Linked DNA regions of Drosophila melanogaster. The protein of the gene in region 1 interacts with the protein of each later gene in a biochemical or structural test. Each region holds a gene or a part of one and is shown on either strand. Other genes may lie near its edges.

The links. Proteins that work in one complex are often made in the same cells at the same time.
Region 2: the proteins of mbt (region 1) and Cdc42 form a complex in vitro, tested with the Drosophila melanogaster proteins (one study listed by BioGRID).

The regions. Positions count from the first base shown.
Region 1 is NC_004354.4:16,604,621-16,616,376, reverse strand, and holds mbt (mushroom bodies tiny), read right to left. Parts: upstream 5,693-11,756; 5' UTR 5,186-5,692; coding exon 4,015-5,185; intron 3,944-4,014; coding exon 3,672-3,943; intron 3,601-3,671; exon of another isoform or gene 3,103-3,600; intron 2,840-3,102; coding exon 2,363-2,839; 3' UTR 1,521-2,362; downstream 1-1,520. Other genes in the region: CG9782 (uncharacterized protein), read left to right, coding at 33-547, 719-867; Nup153 (nucleoporin 153kD), read right to left, coding at 7,279-7,372, 8,377-8,444, 9,378-9,515, 10,369-10,527, 10,591-11,756. UniProt on the Drosophila melanogaster protein: Involved in neurogenesis of the adult central nervous system, and together with Cdc42, regulates photoreceptor cell morphogenesis. Phosphorylates exogenous substrates when activated by Cdc42.
Region 2 is NC_004354.4:19,691,014-19,698,690, reverse strand, and holds the start of Cdc42 (cell division cycle 42), read right to left. Parts: upstream 1,601-7,677; 5' UTR 1,539-1,600; exon of another isoform or gene 1,466-1,538; intron 757-1,465; 5' UTR 734-756; coding exon 446-733; intron 385-445; coding exon 97-384; 3' UTR 1-96. Other genes in the region: CG14229 (uncharacterized protein), read left to right, coding at 3,740-3,762, 3,827-4,124; Mer (merlin), read left to right, coding at 5,734-6,390, 6,450-6,659, 6,757-6,993, 7,056-7,677. UniProt on the Drosophila melanogaster protein: Regulates mbt kinase activity and is also required to recruit mbt to adherens junctions. Together with mbt and Frl, regulates photoreceptor cell morphogenesis. Together with Frl, has a role in the neuronal development of mushroom bodies.

The DNA.
Region 1 (11,756 bases):
ATAATTTATTATATTTTTTTTAATCCACTTAGCTGCCTGCTCTTCATCGTCTGCGTCCTGTGCTACGGAGTGGTCTCCGCTCAGGAGGAGGGTGGTCCCGCCGTTTCGCCGGCGAAGAGAATCGCCGCCCTGCGCCGTCCGGTCGGGAAGGCGGCCAAGGTGACAACCACGACGACAGCGGCGCCAGCACAAGCGGATGCCGGCGGCGAGGGCGAGGAGTATGACGAGGAAACCGGCGAGCACGGCGATCATGGCGAGGAGGGCGACGAGGCGTCCTTTGCCAGCTCTACCACCACCACCACCACGGAGGCGCCCAAAAAGGTCGGCCCGGTTATCCGGCCGTTCCGCTCCAACGATGACTTCCTCAACTCGCTGAAGCGCCGTCAGGCGAACGCGAAGAAGCACCGTGCCGAGAAGCCGCCCAGTCCCAGCAAGCCGGCCAAGAAGAGCGACGAGTCCAACTCCGGCGAGCAGGAGGAGCAGGCATCCGCGCCAGCACCCGCCCCAGCATCCAGTCCCGCCAAGGGCTACAAGGGCAACTCAGCATGTAAGTTAGTCAGGGATTAGGCCAGGATTTTGCTCTAAATGGACTAGCAGTGCCTTCTGAATTTACTAATTTTGAAATAATTGACATTAAACTAGAATAGAAATCTTTAAAATCATCTCTCTATATCAAGTTATTAAATCCATTACTAACTAACGCTTTAACTATCCCCAGTGAGCCGTCGCAAGCTGTCGAAGCCCGCCAAGGCGACGCCCGTGGAGGCGGTGGAGGATGCCGCCGCTGAGGAATCGGAGCAGCAGCAGAAGGAGGAGACGAAGCCCAAGCGCCCCATCGGTCGTCTGGCCCTGCGGAAGCGCAACTGAGCGTTGATTTGAGTGTCAATCAGATCCAACTCCTATTCTACACACATTCCCAGTGACCAGCAAACAACAAACCCTCCCCCCCCTCTCCAACACCACATTTCCCCTCTCTCTCCCCCCCCCCCTCTACCCATCGAATCATATGGCTAGCTATGTGGCAGCCCGATCTGCCCTTTAGTTTTTAGTTCGCAATTGATTTTTCGTGTATGTAATATATTTGTAATCTTATGTTGTAAACAAAAACACACGCGCACACACAACACTCACTCAACTCACACACACCCACCCACCAACGCCACAACGACCACGCCCACTTATCCAGAGCCAGTACCCCATCCTTCATGTACGCGATAAATACGCATATATATTTTGCGAATATATGTGCGAGTATTTAAGCGGGCACAATTATGTATTCTTCACAACCATCAAACAATCAATCAATCAATCAAACAATCAATCAACCAGTAATAAAAACAACAAAATCGAAACATGCATTTTTCAATTAGTTTGTAATAAAAAAAACAGAAATATCTTTAAAATGAAACTCCAAAATGTCGAATAAAATATTAAAATATTCAATATTTCTATTCAGAAATTTTTTTTTGGATTTCTAGTTATTTTTGGTAGTTTTTAACTATGAATGAAACCACAAAATTGAACATTTTCGCATTTAAGTTTATTCATTAATTAATAATTACACGGGTTAAATCAAAAAAACAGAACAAAGAATGTAAGCTAAAAGTTCTAAAATATTTTCGAAATCGGGAATGTGTTTAGATATATGCATATGTGTATGTCTGGAGCGTACAAACTTTTCACACCAATGTAAAATGTAAAATGTTTAAAAAATATTTATGTCGAAATTGTATATGCTCTTCCGCCTAACGCTATCTCTTTCTCTTTCGTTTTCTGTCTCCCTTCGATTCACACCTTCGTTGTTTCGCTTTTGCTTAGAATTAGGATTTGTTTTTATAAAAAATATATGTGTATATATATATATATATAGATTTTTAACATTAGCTCTTAGCGTATATATGTATATATTCGAACAATGTTTTATGGGCTGGTTAAAAAAAATCAAACACACACGCACACAAATCAATATTGACAAGAGACAGAGAGCAAAATGCTGAAATACTCATATATGTATATATATATATATATATAAAAATGTGGTTCTCGGGCAGATAAATGCTATATCGTTTCTCCATCCGTATCGGTTGCAGGATGCGATTTCAATTTCGATTTCGAGGCTTGTGAAAGGCACATTGCGTTCTCTTCTGGAACGTTAGTGGGCATGGATATGGATATGGATGTGCGGAGCTTAAATGACTTTACAACGTTTCGAGGATTCTCCGGGGATTTAAGTACAGCTGCCAAACTGAATGTTAATACTAGAATTTAATAGATGGATGCCCACGGGCCGGGATCCGTTGTCTGTGGGAATGATTGCTTTCATCGAGCAGCCGGATCGTCTGGGTTGTCCAGTGGCATCCAACTACGGATGGTGTCGCGCATTGCGCATCAGCGGAACCAGCAGCGACGGCGGTCCTGCCTGGCGCAGGAAGGGATGGGCCAGCAGCTCGGCGGCGGTGGCACGCTGCGCCGGATCCCGCACCAGCATCCGGTCGAGGAAGGACTGCAGGCGCGGCGAGACCTTGTGCGCGTTCTTCAGGTTCGGCGGCTGCATGTCACGGATGCGACGCATCGCCTGCAGCGGCGGTTCGTTGAAGAACGGCGGCTCGCCGTCCACCATCTCGATGACCATGATGCCCAGCGACCAGATATCCACTTCCGGGCCGTACGGCAGGCGCGATATGACCTCCGGCGACATCCAATACGGCGTGCCAACCAGACTCTTGCGCTTCGGCAGCTCCTGTGACACCTGGGCGCAGAATCCAAAGTCCGATAGCTTCACGCGACCATCGGCGGCCAGCAGAATCGAGTCCGACTTGATGTCGCGATGAATGACGCCCTGTTTATGGTTTATCGCCATCGGCAGCACCGTCGAAAGAGACAGAGAGAGAAGGGAAATTGGTTAAAAGCGTTCACAGTTTGCGGTTTTCCCCCAACCAACGCCCTTTCTCCCGCAGACAGACACTTATCGCATTACACGAGCCAACGTGGGACAGAAATGCACAAAAGAAACCAGATCGACCCTGCAACGCCCAAAAAGAATTTCCTGCTCTTGGGAACACGCTGGTTTCCCTAACGTGGAAGATAGCATAAACAGGTTGGGTTCTAGTTCTAATTTCATTTAAATAGACTACATCTAAAACATTAGGAATGCTTAGTATTGTGAAATGTTGGGGCTTAAACAAGTTCCAATTGACTGACTGACTTAATATTATTATTATATGCTATTCTAATATTGATAGTTTTAATATCTCAAGTTGTATCTCAGGCAAAATCATAGCAAATTGGCTTATCTATCAATGAGTAATGAACTATAACTTTAAACTTCCTTCATCATAAGATGCAATTAACTATCCATTCGAAAATCGCTCTATGCACACTTTTCGCTTTGAGGTAGGGCATGCACGTGCGATTTCACCTGGCACTTTGGGCGTGCTACGCCACTCGATGGCCCACTGTGCGGCCGACGACTTTTGTTGGTGACAACATTTAGAAATTGAAACCAAAGCCACGCGAAAGCGGAGGGCGAAGAAAGCGCCGCAAATGGCAAGGTACAAAGGCACAAAGAATCGCATGATGGCGAGTACTCCGTTCTCTGCTGCCCAGTTTGGCCAAGGGAATGGTAATGGGAACGGGGACAGGAAAGGGGCAGTGTCATGCTGGTCACGCACCTGTGAGTGCAAATAGGCCAAAGCCTTCAAGCATTGCTTGCAGACGGTGGCTATCTGCTCCTCGTCCATGCGCGAATGGGTGACAATATCGGTGAGGGCGCCGCCCTCGAGGTACTCCATCACCACCCAAAGCTCATCGTTGACCAGAAAGCTGGAGTATGTCTCCACGATATTGGGATGATGGTAGTCCCGCATGATGACGACCTCGTTGAATAGCAGCTCCCGTCGCTGCTGTTTGCGCAGATCCATCTTCTTCACGGCCACCTGGCGACCTGTACGTAATGAGAAAACCAAATGCCATTAATTCAATGGTTTTGACAATAGTTAAAGCGGATGTTCTTGCCTGTGGATTTGTCCGTGGCAATGCATACGGTGCCCGTGGAGCCCTCGCCTATTTTGTTAAAGTGGTCGAGGTTCTCGCGTGGATCACCGGCGGAGACCACCATCTGAAGGGCGGCACGGAACTGTTCGTGGGTGAGTCGTTGGTCCTGCTTTGGCTGACCCGCCGCTCCTCCACTGGCGCCGCTCGCCTGCTGGGCAGCACTGCTCGCTCCCCCGCTGGAACTGGATGCCCTGGACGCCGACTTGGCCAAATGTTGGTGATGGTGCGGATGCGGATGAGCATGCGGATGCAGAGGATTTTGGTTCTGATCGCCACCCTGTTTGGCCTGCTGTTGCTGCTGCTGCTGCTGCTGATGGCTTGTGGGATACATGGGAGGATAGCTGCCGCCGCTGTTGCCATTGTTCGTGTGCGAGTGATTGGATCGCGTGCCACTGGCCACCGAACCCACGGGCGAAGTCTGCTGTTGCTGGGGCATGGAGCCGCCGGATGGCGGGGCCAGATTGCTGCGATACTGCTGCAGGTTGGTTTGATCCGTGCGCACGGCCAGTGGTCCTGTTGCTCCATTCGCGTGCGCATGCTGACTGTTATAGAGCAGGGAGGGATGGGCACCGGGTGGCTTAAAGCCACCGCTACTAGCTCCACCTACTCCCGGTGTTCCAGCTGCCGGTGGTCCCTCCTCCTCCGGCACCGATGGCGGCACATTGGCTACCCGTCGCACTCGCGGCGGACTGGAACTCCGCAGCGAATTGGATCTGGCCACGTGAGAGGTCTTCGGCAGGACTATGCCGCCCGTCTCGGGTGGCATCATCATTCCGGGGCCATGGCTCATCATTGGGTGTGCGCCAGGTGCCATGGGATTCATCGGCGCCATTGAGCCCATCATCATTGTGCTGCTGCTGTTGAGCGAGGTGGTGTCCGCCTTGTTGTTGTTGTGATGCGGACGCACAATAGTCTTCAGATCGAGAATCTCGGTGGGCGTAATCTCCGAGGGATCGACCAGTGGCAGCGGGCGGTTGGAGGACTTGAGTATCTGATTGTTGCCCACAATGGACGCCCATTGGAGGGGCAGGCCAACATATTTGTTCTCCCGCTTGTCGAAGCCCGTGTGCACACGATGCTCAAAATTGCTGGGCATCGAGATCAGCGGTTTCTTTTTCTTCTTCGAGAACATCTTCAGCGACTCGGATTTCCCGTGCTCCAAATTTCTGCCCTTTTACCGCCCTTTTCCACTCCACACCACTCCTTCCCTCTCGCTCTTGCTCTCTATTTTTAATGTGTAATTTTTTTCTTTTTGTTGCGTCGCCCGACAATGGAAAATGCACAAACAACAAACGATGGCAACGGCAAATCCGACAGAAACAACAACAACAACAGCACACAACTTCTTCCCGATCTCACTCACACACACACATGCAGGGACACGGGCACGCACGCACACACACACGCATAGCAGCGGACGCGACTGGGAAACTGGGATTCAATTGGATATGGATGGACAAATCGAGATGCGCACAAGCGATACACCTTCACCACTTGCTCCTCTGGCTGGCACACATTGCACACATTATGGCGACAGCACGAGCGCACAAGCAATTCGCTTAACAAAAAAATAATAAACCTAGGGAAATAATTGCCGATGCCAGAAATAGAGGTGGTGTTTATCGTGAGTATTAGTGCTGGAACGGCTATCGATGTCTATCGCAATGGCGGCAGTGTGACCGTTGCCGTGGCATGGTGAGTTCGCCTGTGGTCAACTGGCTTTTCGAAATTCAAATGTTTGTAAAGTATTCGCGCTGAAAACAATTACCATTCAAAGTAAGATATGTACTTTAAGACACCAAATATTCGTTATAGAATTTCATTGCAATTCCAGTTGAAAACCCAAGTAAAGAGCACAATGTTTAAATTATCATACCGCATATATTTACTTATTTACATTATGATACCGTTTCTCTCTCAACATAGACTTCTGATTTCCATTTCTGTTCTCGACTTAAAAATGATCAATATAAACTTAAAATAAAATATTAAATGTTCTTTATGAATTTATGTATATAAAAAACATGCATACAATTATAACTCTTTCGGTTTTCCAGTTTGCCACCATTCTCTCTAATCTTTTCATCTAATCTGTTATCTTGTTAGCTATAGGGTTGGTTGGTTTCTTTACGTTGCTAGATAGTTGTTTTTCTTTAATTTGTTGGCTTTCCACCTTGGCTGCTGCACAGAACGTCGTTGCAGGTATTTTCCTCGTGTGAATTGTGTGTGTGTGAATCTAAACGCTAAAATTAATAACAAAAACTAAAGACTTAATGCAATCGTTTGCCGATCGCTCTTATCTGACTGCAATCATCATATGCTCGACGTATCGGCCAATAACTCGAATATACGTATTACTACATTATACAGTAGTTGATTTTTTGCGCTATTACATGGCCTCGCATCTCTGTTTGATTGCAGCATTACACGTTTCTTTACTATTTCGCAAAATAATTATTACATAATTATCGTTAAGGTATATTATATATTCAACAAAAATAACGTTAAAATATATTCATTTTCGTTTTTTTTTTGGTGCGATGAATTCTCGCGTAAATCCAACGAAGTGTTTTTATAATTTGTAATCATCAATATGCGTAGTATGAGCGACATTCGCGTGGTCATCTCCCAATCATCGGAGAGCAGAGAAGGATGTGGAACGAACCTATTCCTTAGCTTTTTAAGAGTAAGTCGGAGGCTTCTGTCTCGGTTTCGAGATGACGCTCCTTTGCCGCACTATCTTGAATTGGGTCCTTACTAGTACAGTTCGTTCTGTTGATGTATATACCGCTGAATCTCGTTCCTCCTGTTGGTTGTCCTCCTGGTCGCCAGTTGTTGGTGTTTTAGGGACATCGTCGCCATTGGTTTCATTGCCTTCTCCTGTTGTATTCTGCCAAATATTCCTGCTAAAGGGTTTCCTGGTTTCAGAGTTCAGGCTGTGGCGGCGTACGAAGCGGTATTTGTTCACACATGGCGACTTTGGTGACTGCATGTTTATCCTCGATGATCCTTGAATATCTGGCTCCTGGTGATATTGGCTCTGGACCGAACCTTTGAGCCCACTATTGTTGCCGGCGTCTTCTGTGTCTTGCTTTTCCTTTTCGGCCCTTGATGCTTTTGCTGCTACTGCTGATTCTGTTACTCTCGGCAATGGCTGCCAATATCTTAATCCTAATCCGACGGCGGCCTCATTTGCTATCGTGATGGCCGACTGCGATGCCATTTCTACCGGGGCGGCAAACGGCGTACGGGGGCGCGGATTTTGCGGCGAGCCGTCTGGGAACTCTGCGCCGAGTTGCCCGCAGCTGGCGGATTGAAGCTGCGGATTAACAATGGATTAGTATCATTATCATATTTGGTTGGTCAATTTCGAGACTCCCACTGGCGGTTGCTGCTGCTGCTTACAGCGAGTAATGTGGACAAAAAACATTAATTGAACAAATAATATATGGATACGAAATGCTATGAACAAAACGAAACAATATGGCACACACAAATAAGACAAACACAAACTATAGTAAAATATGAAATTCGCAGGATATAGAAAATGCTACATATATCCTATTTACACAATGGTAAATAAACCATTCCGTGGAGGAAATGGATGCGTTTTTAACTTCGATTTAGTTTTCACTTGTGGCCAGTTTCCATATATGACAATATGATTAAAATGATTGATTTATAATACTATTCATTTTTCATTAGTTGATTTTTTTAAGCACAGCTTAAACCAGTTTTTTATGAACATAAATGGTAAATGAGGGCGAAAACATATAGTAAGTAATGATTGTAAGAATTTTGTCTCTCTAAACTTAAATTACGAATATATTTTTCTTTGAAAATCTTTTTTAATTAGATCACTTGATTTTAAAACATTGTAAATGTATAAAGCCCATTTTAAGCTAACATACCACATTTTTTTTTGGCCAATTGATTTAAGCCTGCTTTTCAAAATTCGGAAAACTGAACAATCTTGTTAATGCCTATTTTACCCATGTGTAAATATGATAGGTAGTAAGCTTTTCTTCTCAACAAAAACAAAACAAATGGTACGCACAACAAAACGAAATGCTTAAAAATAAAACAAATGCAATTATAATGCAGCTGTGTGTGTTTGTGTGTGTGTGTCTCTGTGTTCTTCGATTGTGTTGGTAAAAGGATCAATTCAAAGTACGGAAAGAGGGCGACAGCAACAAAAAGCGCGTAAACTTCTCTCTCTCTCTCTCTCTCTCTCTTCGGGCCGCTCTTACGTCTGTCTCGCTCGCATTTGTGGGTGACAACCCTTCACCAACGGATCGGAACATCCGTCTCTGTCTTACTTACGCAAATATATTGGCTGGCGCTGTGGAGGTCGCGCTAAATTGGAACAGTGCATTGGCATTCGGTGTGGACTGCAAGAAGAATATTTTTGGTATGTTTTCCTTGGTAAGTTGGTTTTGTATAGCAAGTAAATTTCGTTGGTTTTTTTTCTTTTGGTTTTATAGGACGGATCACGATGGTTGATGGTTAATATTTGCTTCTTCTTCTACATACAGATTGGGTTTTGGATGGTTGATGGGTATTATGTGCTTTTTTTTTTTTTGGTTATGTACAAATTGAAAATTTTGATGGAAATTGCTATATGAAGAATGACAACTGCTGTGCATCTTTGTATGTGTGTGGTGTGTGTGTGTGTGTACGTGCATGCGTGTGGGAGGTGGGGGATGGTGTGCATACGTGAGAGCTTGTCAAAAATATACCGTTAACGCATGCTTAACTACACAGGAAACATACATACATATATAACACATTGAAAAAAATCTACTTTCGATTCTAATTGTTAGGTATGTATCATTTGACAAGCCCTGCGACACATGCGTTCTAGGAAAACTACTTACAACTACAGAAATATGTGCATGCATTCAACTACAGCTAATGGAGCAAGATGAGACAAGCAAGATATGCATAAATAATGGTTATAATGTGACTTTCATACACGGAGAGTGCCAAAGAAAATATGTACTAGCTGCATTTTAGGGAATCCTATACTCTACGATTTAAAAATGAAATCTAGAATCAAAATTAAGATGTACTCTAAAACATATTAAATATATAATAAACTAATACATGTTAGATTTGTAAAAGCCTTTGTACTATTTGTATTATAAGAAATGACACTAAGTTATATACAATTGATTATGCGCGAATTTCTTTGGCATTCCCCGTTCTACATATGCATTTATGAGTACATAAGAAATGGCATAAAGTACTGGGTATTAGCAATCGGATATCGTTAAAATCGAGTCGGCGAAACTCTCTGGATATCGCGCATGACCTCGCATTACCTGCATCTGCGGCGCCCCGGGCGAAAAGTTGAACATGGGCATACCGCCGGCGGAGTTGTTGGTGGCACCGCCCGCACCACCAAACTGGTTATTGGCCGCCGGTTGCGAACTACCGAATTGGAAGATGCGCGGATGCGACTGTATTGCGATTCGAATTCATTTGCAGATCCATTCAGTGCATTTTTATGTTCATTTTACCGGGTAGTTCAATTTCATGTTCATTTTGCCGGGTAGTTCATTTTCATGTTCATTTTACCGGGTAGTTCATTTTCATGTTCATTTTGCAGAAGGATTGGTAATTATAATAATAGGTAGTAGTAGGATGGATGGTAGTAAAGTTGATTCGTGCCCGTGCCCACAGAGTTTTCGTTTTTTTTTTTTCAGTACATAGAGTGTACATTACAGATTTACGGAAGTTGCGTAGTTAAGGAGTGTATACATTAAGTTACATGGTATACGACAATATTATTCAACAGTAACAACACGCACGACCGTTTTTGTGTAGAAAGGGTTGTGGAAAAAGATAAAAAAGAAAATGAGAGAAGAATACAAATAAATATATATATATATATATAGATAGAGAGACGTTGTATGTATGTATAAAAGTTAGAAGGTAAAATCAATACGGTAAGTAACTAGCTCTAAATTAATATACAATGTCGGCCAGGTATGTTTTATATTAGGGGGATCGATCGATTTTTGATCGCATTGTTATAATTTCTATAACGTGGGCATGCAAGTCGGAAAATTAAAAGGAAATATGACGGACAGCTACGACTACAAACAATCGCAAACACATTTGTATGGATGAAACCTGGGTGAGTGAGTGTGTGGTGTGATCGATCTACTTCATCATCACATCAGGCGCTCATCTCCCATCGATCACCTTGTGCTTGTACTGCGAATACTATATAAGTTGATCAGGTGGGGCGGGGTGGTGGACTGGTGGTTTGGTGATCTACTGGGAGTTGGGTGGAAATCGTATACTTACATCGCCACCGGAGGGATTATTAGTGGCCGCCGTATTGGCCGTGAAATTGAAGGCTGGCGCAGGAGCAGTCGAGCTGGCCGCCGAGCCGGTGAAGTTGAACGACGGTTTGGCCAGCGGCTCATTGGTGCTGCTTCCGAATACAAATGGAGCACTTGAGGCCTGCAATATGCGAAAAAGCGGATTGGAATTCGTGCAGAATTGAATTCGTATAAATGTACTTACAGCTGGCGTGGCTGCAGTTGCTCCGCCAAAGTTAAATGCTCCTGGTAACGCTGGGGCCGCCAACGGAGCAGCTGCAGCAGGCGCTCCAAATCCTGCGCTTGGGATGGTGCTTCCGCTGCCGAAGACAGGCGCGGCAGCAGCAACTGGCGTGGGATTGCCAAAGATGTTGGTCAATGGAGCAGCAGCTGTTGCCGCTGGTGTTGTGGCTACAGGAGCTCCTACTCCCGCTAGAGAGTTGCCCACATTGCCGAATAACCCAGTAAGGGCTGCATTGCCGCCCGCCGGCGTAGTTGCGGCAGTGGTCGCCGCTGATCCGAATGGTAGACTAGTGGTGCTGGTGCTGGTGGTGTTGTTACTGCTACTGGATGGTCCAAACATGGAACTGCTGCCGAATATCGGAGTCGCCATCGTGGAGGCCGAAGACGAAGGCACCGCCGCACTGCCGACCGCAGCGCTGTTGCTCTTTGCCGCATCTCCATTGCTCGACCAGCCGAAGCTAGGCGTTGTAGTCGTTCCCGAACCGGAAGAAGCACCAAAGGTGGTCAAGTCCGTTTTCTTTTCACCCCAATTGCCAAAGAGCTGAGGGGTCGAGGTGGGCGCAAAGCTGGAAGCAATGGCGTTGGCGGTGCTGGTGCTGGTGGTGGCACTCACGCTGGTGCTTGCAGTGGTACTTGTTGCCGGTGCTCCGAAGATGGAGCTCACGCTAGGGTTGGTTGGCGTTGCTGGCGCAACCGCTGTTGGCTGGCCAAAGAAGAAGGTTCCAGTGTTCTGTGTGGTTGCTGGCTTTGACTGACTTCCAAAACTGAAGCCGGCACCTGCAGCTGGTGCCGAGGTGGCTGCTGCCGGATCTAGACCAGATGCCGGTGTGAAAGCAAAAACTTTCGTAGAGGTTGTTGTCGTTGTTACGGTGCTGGAGGAAACACCAAAACCTAGGGTTGGCGCCTTGGCCACTGGCTGCTGGCTGCTACTGGTGCTGCTCACGGCACTGCCAGCTCCGGACCAGCTGAACATCGGTTTGACAGCCGCGGGATTCGCACTGGTACTAGTCGTCGAACTGGAAACTGTAGAGGACGATGATGGAGCGCCAAAGCTGAAGCCACCCAAAGCAGGAGCGTTGCTGGTGGTGCTGATTGTGGTGGTGAGTGAACTGGCCGTGGTTGCGGTAG
Region 2 (7,677 bases), 3.1 Mb from region 1:
ATATTGAATGCTTCTCGACGACGGGAGGCTGGGAAGGAGTCATTGCGATAGTAGAAAGCCAGAATGAAAGGGATACCGCGTGTGAGGAAAGCAGAATTATAAGAATTTGCACTTCCTTTTCTTTGTGGGCTCTGGTGGCTCGAGGGCGGCCAGGATGGCCTCGTCGAATACATTTTTCAGGCCCTTCTGTGTCAAGGCCGAGCACTCCACGTACTTGACGGCCTTCAGCTCCTTGGCCAGCTTCTCGCCCTGCTCCATGGTGATGGGCTTCTGCTTGTTCTTGGCCAGCTTCTCCAGCGTGCTGTTCTCGTCGCGCAAATCAATCTGTGTGCCCACCAGCAGGAACGGCGTCTTTTGGCAATGGTGTGTAATCTCGGGCACCCACTGCAAATGCAAAATGACTCACTTACAGTCTCGCCATGGCGTAGAATAGTCTTGTACGTACCTTCTCCTTGACGTTCTCGAAGGAACTGGGACTGACCACCGAAAAGCAGACAAGGAAGACATCCGTCTGCGGATAGGAGAGCGGACGCAGCCGATCGTAGTCCTCCTGTCCGGCCGTATCGAACAGGCCCAGTGTGTAGGGCTCACCGCCGATCATCACAGTGACCGCATAGTTGTCGAACACCGTGGGCACGTACTCCGACGGGAACTTGTTGGTTGTATACGAGATGAGCAGGCATGTCTTACCCACGGCTCCGTCGCCGACGACCACGCACTTGATGGTTTGCATGTTGTGCAGAGGGGTGATGACTCCTGCGGATTAGTGGGGGTTAGTTTGCCGGATTACACTGGGGGGATGACTAGTGGGTGCGGCTTCCCTGCTCCTGCTCGTACTCCTGCCAGAGTGACCGTTCGCCAGCGGCGCCTTATCAACGAGGAGGAGCGGAGCCCAGGAGAGCGGGGCGGCAGTGTGTGTGCAATGTACATATGTACATATCTGGGCAGAATGAGCGATGACTCAAGCCGAAGAAAGAACGGAAAGAATGGAAAGCAACGGCGCACACAGATAAGCCGGACGGGCATCAGAAAATTCTGATTGGACACACATACACGCAAACACTTGCGCGCAGGGGCGCAGCGAGTACGGCAGCTTGCGGTTGTGTGTGTGCGGTGCGTGTTCACTTGGTCTAATGCAGTTTTTGCTGCACTATTACTGGCTTTATGATGGTTTATTTGGTCACGGGACTGGCCGCCCAGTCAGCTGCTGGAGCTGCCCCCTGTTTTTAGCTATAGTCGGATTTTAGACGAGATTTGCAGACAAAAAACTAAAGAAATTTGGAAGCAATTATTTATCACACACGCACACTGCGGCACGGACCACACGCACATATGACACACACACACAGGCAGGCAGGCCCGTCATCGACATTTGGTTTTCATTCACTTTTCACTGGGCAAATTGAAACGCGTTGCGATCTATACGGCGGATGCTCGTTGCGGGCACCTTTTCCGCCTTACTTACAGTTATTTAAAATTTGCAACCGCTGTCGAATCCGTTTAGTTTTCCGCTTTTCTGGGCTGGGCTCGATACGTACGGAAAACTACTATTTCCTTTTGTGTTAGCGTTCTCTCTCTCCAGCGAGCTCTTTGCGTGCGAGTGACTAGCGCGGCGTTGCCATCCCGTCGCAGTACTCCCACCCGGCTTGCATCGCAATCGGTATGTTGGTATTTTCGGTGGAAGTTCTCTGTCACTGTAAGGGCTATATATCCGACCGATCGGGCAGAGCGGGACCAATATACTGCATACAGTTGCGGTAACAATAATAAGCGGATTTCGTGTTTGTCCCAGTGTTTCTGTATTTTCTGACACTTTTTCATCATTTTACTCACTAAACTTAAATACTACAATGATTTTCAATCGAAATAAAAAAATTAGTAACAGATCTAATGGATAAAATAATTGGTAAAACAAAAAAAAACCTTCAAATTTAGGCGGTAACAAAAATAGCACTGTTTCTTGTAGTTTGCCAAAACTAAATAAAAAAATTTTTTAAAAAATTTTTAAAAAAATTTAAACAAACGGATTATATCTTAAAAACTATGTTTAAAGAATCTTAATATTTGGTTGCGTGACCTATGCTGGTAATGACAGCTGGACATCGTCTTGGCATGGACTCCACCAAGTCCTGGCACTGTTTTTGAGGAATTTTGCTTCCTGAATCCTTGACCACACCCCAAAATTCCTCGTTATTATTGGGTCTGGCTTCAGAAACCCTTTTTTCACGTCCGCCCAAAGGTTTTCGATTGGATTCAAGTCGGGTGACTGAGCAGGCCATTTCATTACTCGGATCTACTTCTGCTCAAACCACTTTGAGCTTTCTTGCTCGTGTGTTTTGGGTCGTTATCCTGTTGAAATGTCCAAACCAACGGCATTTCATCCTCGGCATATGACAGTAAATGTGCTGATCCATGATGCTTTGAATCCAATGGATTGGAACTACTCCATACCATGAAAAGCACGCCCATACCATGATGCTTGATCCCCCGTTTTTTACCGACTTAAAGGTGAAGCGAGGATTATATTTAGTGGTGGACGTCGTGGTGGACGCCGAACATAAGACCGAGAGCCTTTCCCACCAAACAACACAATTTTGATCTCATCTGACCACAAAATGTTGCACCACTTCTCCATAGGCCAGTCCTTGTGTATCTTGGCATATTCGATTCGCTTTGCCACATGCTTCACAGTCAAAAGCGGTACTTTTTTGGGGCTGCACGCATTAAGGTTGTTTTGTCTTAAGCGTTTGCGAACTGTTTCCACGCTTGCAGCTATCTGAAGCTCCTTCTTCAGTTCCGTCGCCGGCTTAAAAGACTCCTTCTTGCTTTGCCAAACCAAGCGCTTGATCTCCACGTTGGACATTGAGGGCTCTCTTCGCCGTGTTTCCTTCTTTTCGACAAACAGCAGTGCTTTGCGGATCATTTTGTTTGAACAACCGACAATGCGACCAATTTCAGCGTAGGTTTTACGTTCAGAAATCATGTTTTTAATCAAATTTCTTTTTTCGACGGTACAATGCTTTCCGCGACCCATGACTAGAGAATTTTTTGTCTTCGTTTGGAAAAAATTCAATTAAAACCTTTATTGCAACTCCTTTTTTCAAAATTTGTCGAAAAAAAAACCCAAAGCAATCACTCCTATTAATTGTATTCAGCAAATACGTGATCGGTGCTATTTTTGTTACCACAGCAAGTGCCCAAAAACAAAAAGAACCGTTACATTGAGAGAGTAAAAATTTCTTGCTCAGAGAGACAACATATGGTTCTTATTATTCATGCAATCTGACTTAAAAAAATAAAACATTTAATTATTTTTTTTGGTAAATCAACTTTCCACCTGCAGTAGTGTTATTATTTTAACCGCAGCTGTATTCATCGTGTCATCGTGAAGTAATTGTTGGGTATAAAATATTCTCACTTGGCGCTATTTGTCACTGAGACAACTTTTAGATTCACTTTATCCCTCCCTCCCAAAAATATTCTATTTGTTTGGATACAATATAATCTCGGTTTTCTTAACAATATCTGCTGTTTGGGTTGGCTATTTGTGATTTCCATTTAAGAAAAAACAAACCTCGATTAGCGGTATATTTAGCACAACCCATTGGTATATCCCACAGCCAATTTCGAACTTCGAGGCAGTCACACTGGTGGATGTCGCTGCTGTGAAACGGGGCAGGACAAAACAATTGACCAATAGGAACCGAAACCAACACACTGCACTGGCCCCGGGATCGGAATGGCTGGATTCCTGAAGACAAGGTAATCACCTTGACCAAGGTAGTGAGGTCCCAGCGCTAATCAAACGCACACCATTCCTCCACAGAAAGCGCAGCCGGGAGGATGAACTGGCCTGCGAGTCGCCCCTTTCGAAGCGCATCAACAACCTGAATCTGAACTACGAGGATGGGAACAGCAGCAGCAGCAGCAGCTGCAGCATTCCGCCACTGTCGGGAGGAGGAGCGACTGGTGGATCCGGCGGGTCCGATGCAGCCGGAAACGGTGTGGCGGCCGGATACGAATACAACCCAGAACTGGGAGCCGAACAAAACCCATTTTACTACGAGAAGAACAAGATGCTGTACGACCTGCATGTCGAGCGCATCAAGCGGAGCAGCCAGTAGCTAGTGATCATGGATTCCGGTGTGCGAGTCCAAGTCCTGGCACAGCCATTTAAGTGCCAACACGAGTTATCTGCAGCAACACTCTCTCTAGGTTCAAAGTAATTCGCCTCCGTTCAGTCTTCTCTGCGCACGGATTCGGATATCCGTGTCTGGAGTCACTTGCGTTTGTGTGATAAGCATTGTTTACTTGCATGGCATTAGCATCACCCCTGATGCATACACATAATAATAGTAGTATAAATTGAGCTAAGAGTCCCCCAAACACGCACATGAATATATATAAACTATGTTCATCGGTTACCATCCCTTCAATATGTATTTATAATCCTGCATGTATAATTTATTCTAAGAATAATGTAAGAAAACCTCCATATCTTTATATTTTCCTATTTCGATGAAATACGATATCCAGGGGGGTACAAGTTCATTGCTGAGTCGGTGGAGATGGAAAATAAGCTACAGGGACCTGATAAAACGAAAGCTGGACTTATTCATTGTTTATATACGCATCTGCTGACATGGTCATTTTGCTTATTCCGAGAATTTAAGCATGGACCTGCAATACAAGAATACGTCCAATAAACATTTACATAGTAATACATCTCATCCTTAGACAAATCTTTAAAACAAATATTGCGCTCAAGGACTTCATTTTCCCAATTCGTGACCATTGACAGGGTGGCAACTCTATATAGCACTGTGTTATTTTAGTTAATTCATCTTTCATCAAATAGCTGATCAAATCTATTTCGCAGCATTCAAAAATTCGTATAACTAAAAATGAGTGTACAATTTGAAAAAACATATTGCGGTATATTTTGGTATTTGGACTACCACTGTTTTGCCAGTTTTTGAAAACTTTTGGAAAATGGAAAGTTAATATATTTTTAAGGTATTTAATATGTTTTCATGTGCATATATTGACATTTCAATGCTTTATGTCGTTTGAGATGGATTAATTTAAGCATTATGATTCCTCCATAAAATTGAAATGGAATCACCCTACTAAATATACAAGGCGTCTGCCAAAGCTGATTTTTCTGCATCTAACGGCTGGTCACACTGTCTATGTTTATGTCGCGCATATCGGGAATTTGTCGTACAATTGCGATTCGCGGTGCAAACAATCGAGTAAGTTGCCTATTCTCGTACTTGGTCGATGTGGAGACCCTTCTGCCGACCCTCAATCAGCTTCCACGCCAAAGGAGCTGGGTGAGCGGTTGAATAGTGGGCGCCAGGATGCCGTGGCCACGCAGTTCTTAAATCGCAGCGCCGCATAAACGAAGAGCCTTACTCTTTCTTTCTTTCCGCTCACAGCCATCAGCCCAAATTGCCATTGCCATTGCCCGGAGCACCGAATTGGCTGCAAAATGAGGCAGTCCGCGATAGGCGAGGACCGCAGGAGCAGCAACAAGGAATCGTGCCACTAGATGGCACAGGAGCACCAGAAGGACCAAGAATCAGATTAGCAGGAGCAACAAGTCCTTTGCACGCAACAGGTTATCACGAATTGCCCACAAGAGCACTCAGTTCCCACTCCAATCCAATTGCATCTAACGCATCACATCACATTGCGTCGAATCTAATCAAAACACATCACATAATCGCGATGAGCCCCTTCGGCTCCAAGAAAAACCGATCCCTGTCGGTGCGGGTGAGCACCTTCGACTCGGAGCTGGAGTTCAAGCTGGAGCCGCGCGCCTCCGGCCAGGATCTGTTCGACCTGGTGTGCCGCACCATCGGGCTGCGCGAGTCTTGGTACTTTGGGCTGCAGTACGTCGACACCCGCAGCAACGTGTCCTGGCTGAAAATGGAGAAGCGGGTGCGCGACCAGCGCGTTGAGCTGCACGCTAGCAATAATGTGTATGTGTTTAGCTTCTACGCCAAGTTCTTTCCGGAGAACGTCAGCGAGGAGCTGATCCAGGAGATCACGCAGCACCTGTTCTTCCTGCAGGTCAAGCAGAGCATCCTCTCCATGGACATCTACTGCCGCCCGGAGGCGTCCGTGCTGCTGGCCTCCTACGCGGTGCACGTGCAATACGGTCCGTACGACTACGAGACCTACAAGGACGGTATGCTGGCCGGGGGTGAGCTTCTGCCCAAGGGAGTGACCGATCAGTACCAGATGACGCCCGAAATGTGGGAGGAACGGATCAAGACATGGTACATGGACCATGAGCCCATGACGCGCGACGAGGTGGAGATGGAGTACCTGAAGATTGCTCAGGACCTGGACATGTACGGAGTAAACTACTTTCCTATTACGGTGAGAGCCTTGATTTTCACGTGGCGCATCTGAATCTTATCGTTTGTGTTCCCCACCAGAATAAGAACAAAACCAAATTGTGGCTGGGCGTCACCTCCGTGGGCCTAAACATCTACGATGAGCGCGATAAGCTAACGCCAAAGACAACGTTCCAGTGGAACGAGATACGGCACGTCAGCTTCGACGACAAGAAGTTCACCATTCGCCTGGTGGATGCCAAGGTTTCGAATTTCATCTTTTACTCGCAGGACCTCCACATCAACAAAATGGTAAGGAGGGCAGTTGTGACAACTGAAATATGTATATGTATTTTCACTATGTTCATGTTCCCATATTCATACTACACTTGCATCGTGTGCTTTGCAGATTCTTGACCTGTGCAAGGGCAATCACGATCTATATATGCGCCGCCGCAAACCCGACACCATGGAAATCCAGCAGATGAAGGCCCAAGCCAAGGAGGAGAAGCAACGCCGCCAGATCGAACGCAAAAAGTTCATCAGGGAAAAGAAGCTGCGCGAAAAGGCGGAGCACGAGCGCTACGAGCTGGAGAAGAGCATGGAGCACCTGCAAAACGAAATGCGCATGGCCAACGATGCACTTGTAAGACTCACTCCGCCCAGTGGCTTCTGATCTATAATATTGAGTTTCTCCCTGTATCCCAGCGGCGTTCCGAAGAGACCAAGGAGCTGTACTTCGAAAAGAGTCGTGTCAACGAGGAGCAGATGCAGCTGACCGAGTGCAAGGCAAACCACTTCAAGACGGAAATGGACCGGCTGCGCGAGCGACAAATGAAAATCGAGCGGGAGAAGCACGACCTGGAGAAGAAGATTCGCGACGCCGACTTCTATGTCCACCAGCTGACGGTGGAGAACGACAAGCGGGAGGCCGAGACTGAGAAGCTGCGCAAGGAGCTGATCTGCGCCAAAATGGCGGAGCGCGAGGCCACCGCTCGCCTGCTCGAATTCCTCAACAGCGGCCGCAAGTCCTCCACGGATAGCCTGCTGACCGCCTCCAGTGTGTCGCACGCGGCGAATACGGCGTCCAGCATGGCGGCCATCAGCACACCCTCCCTGATCACAAGCAGCTCAACCAATGATTTGGAGACCGCCGGCGGCGCCGAGCTGACCACCCACTCGTCACACTACCTGGTCCAAGGTGACAACTCCAGCGGCATTTCGGACGACTTCGAGCCCAAGGAGTTCATACTCACCGACAACGAGATGGAGCAGATCACCAATGAGATGGAGCGCAACCACCTCGACTACCTGCGCAACTCCAAGCAGG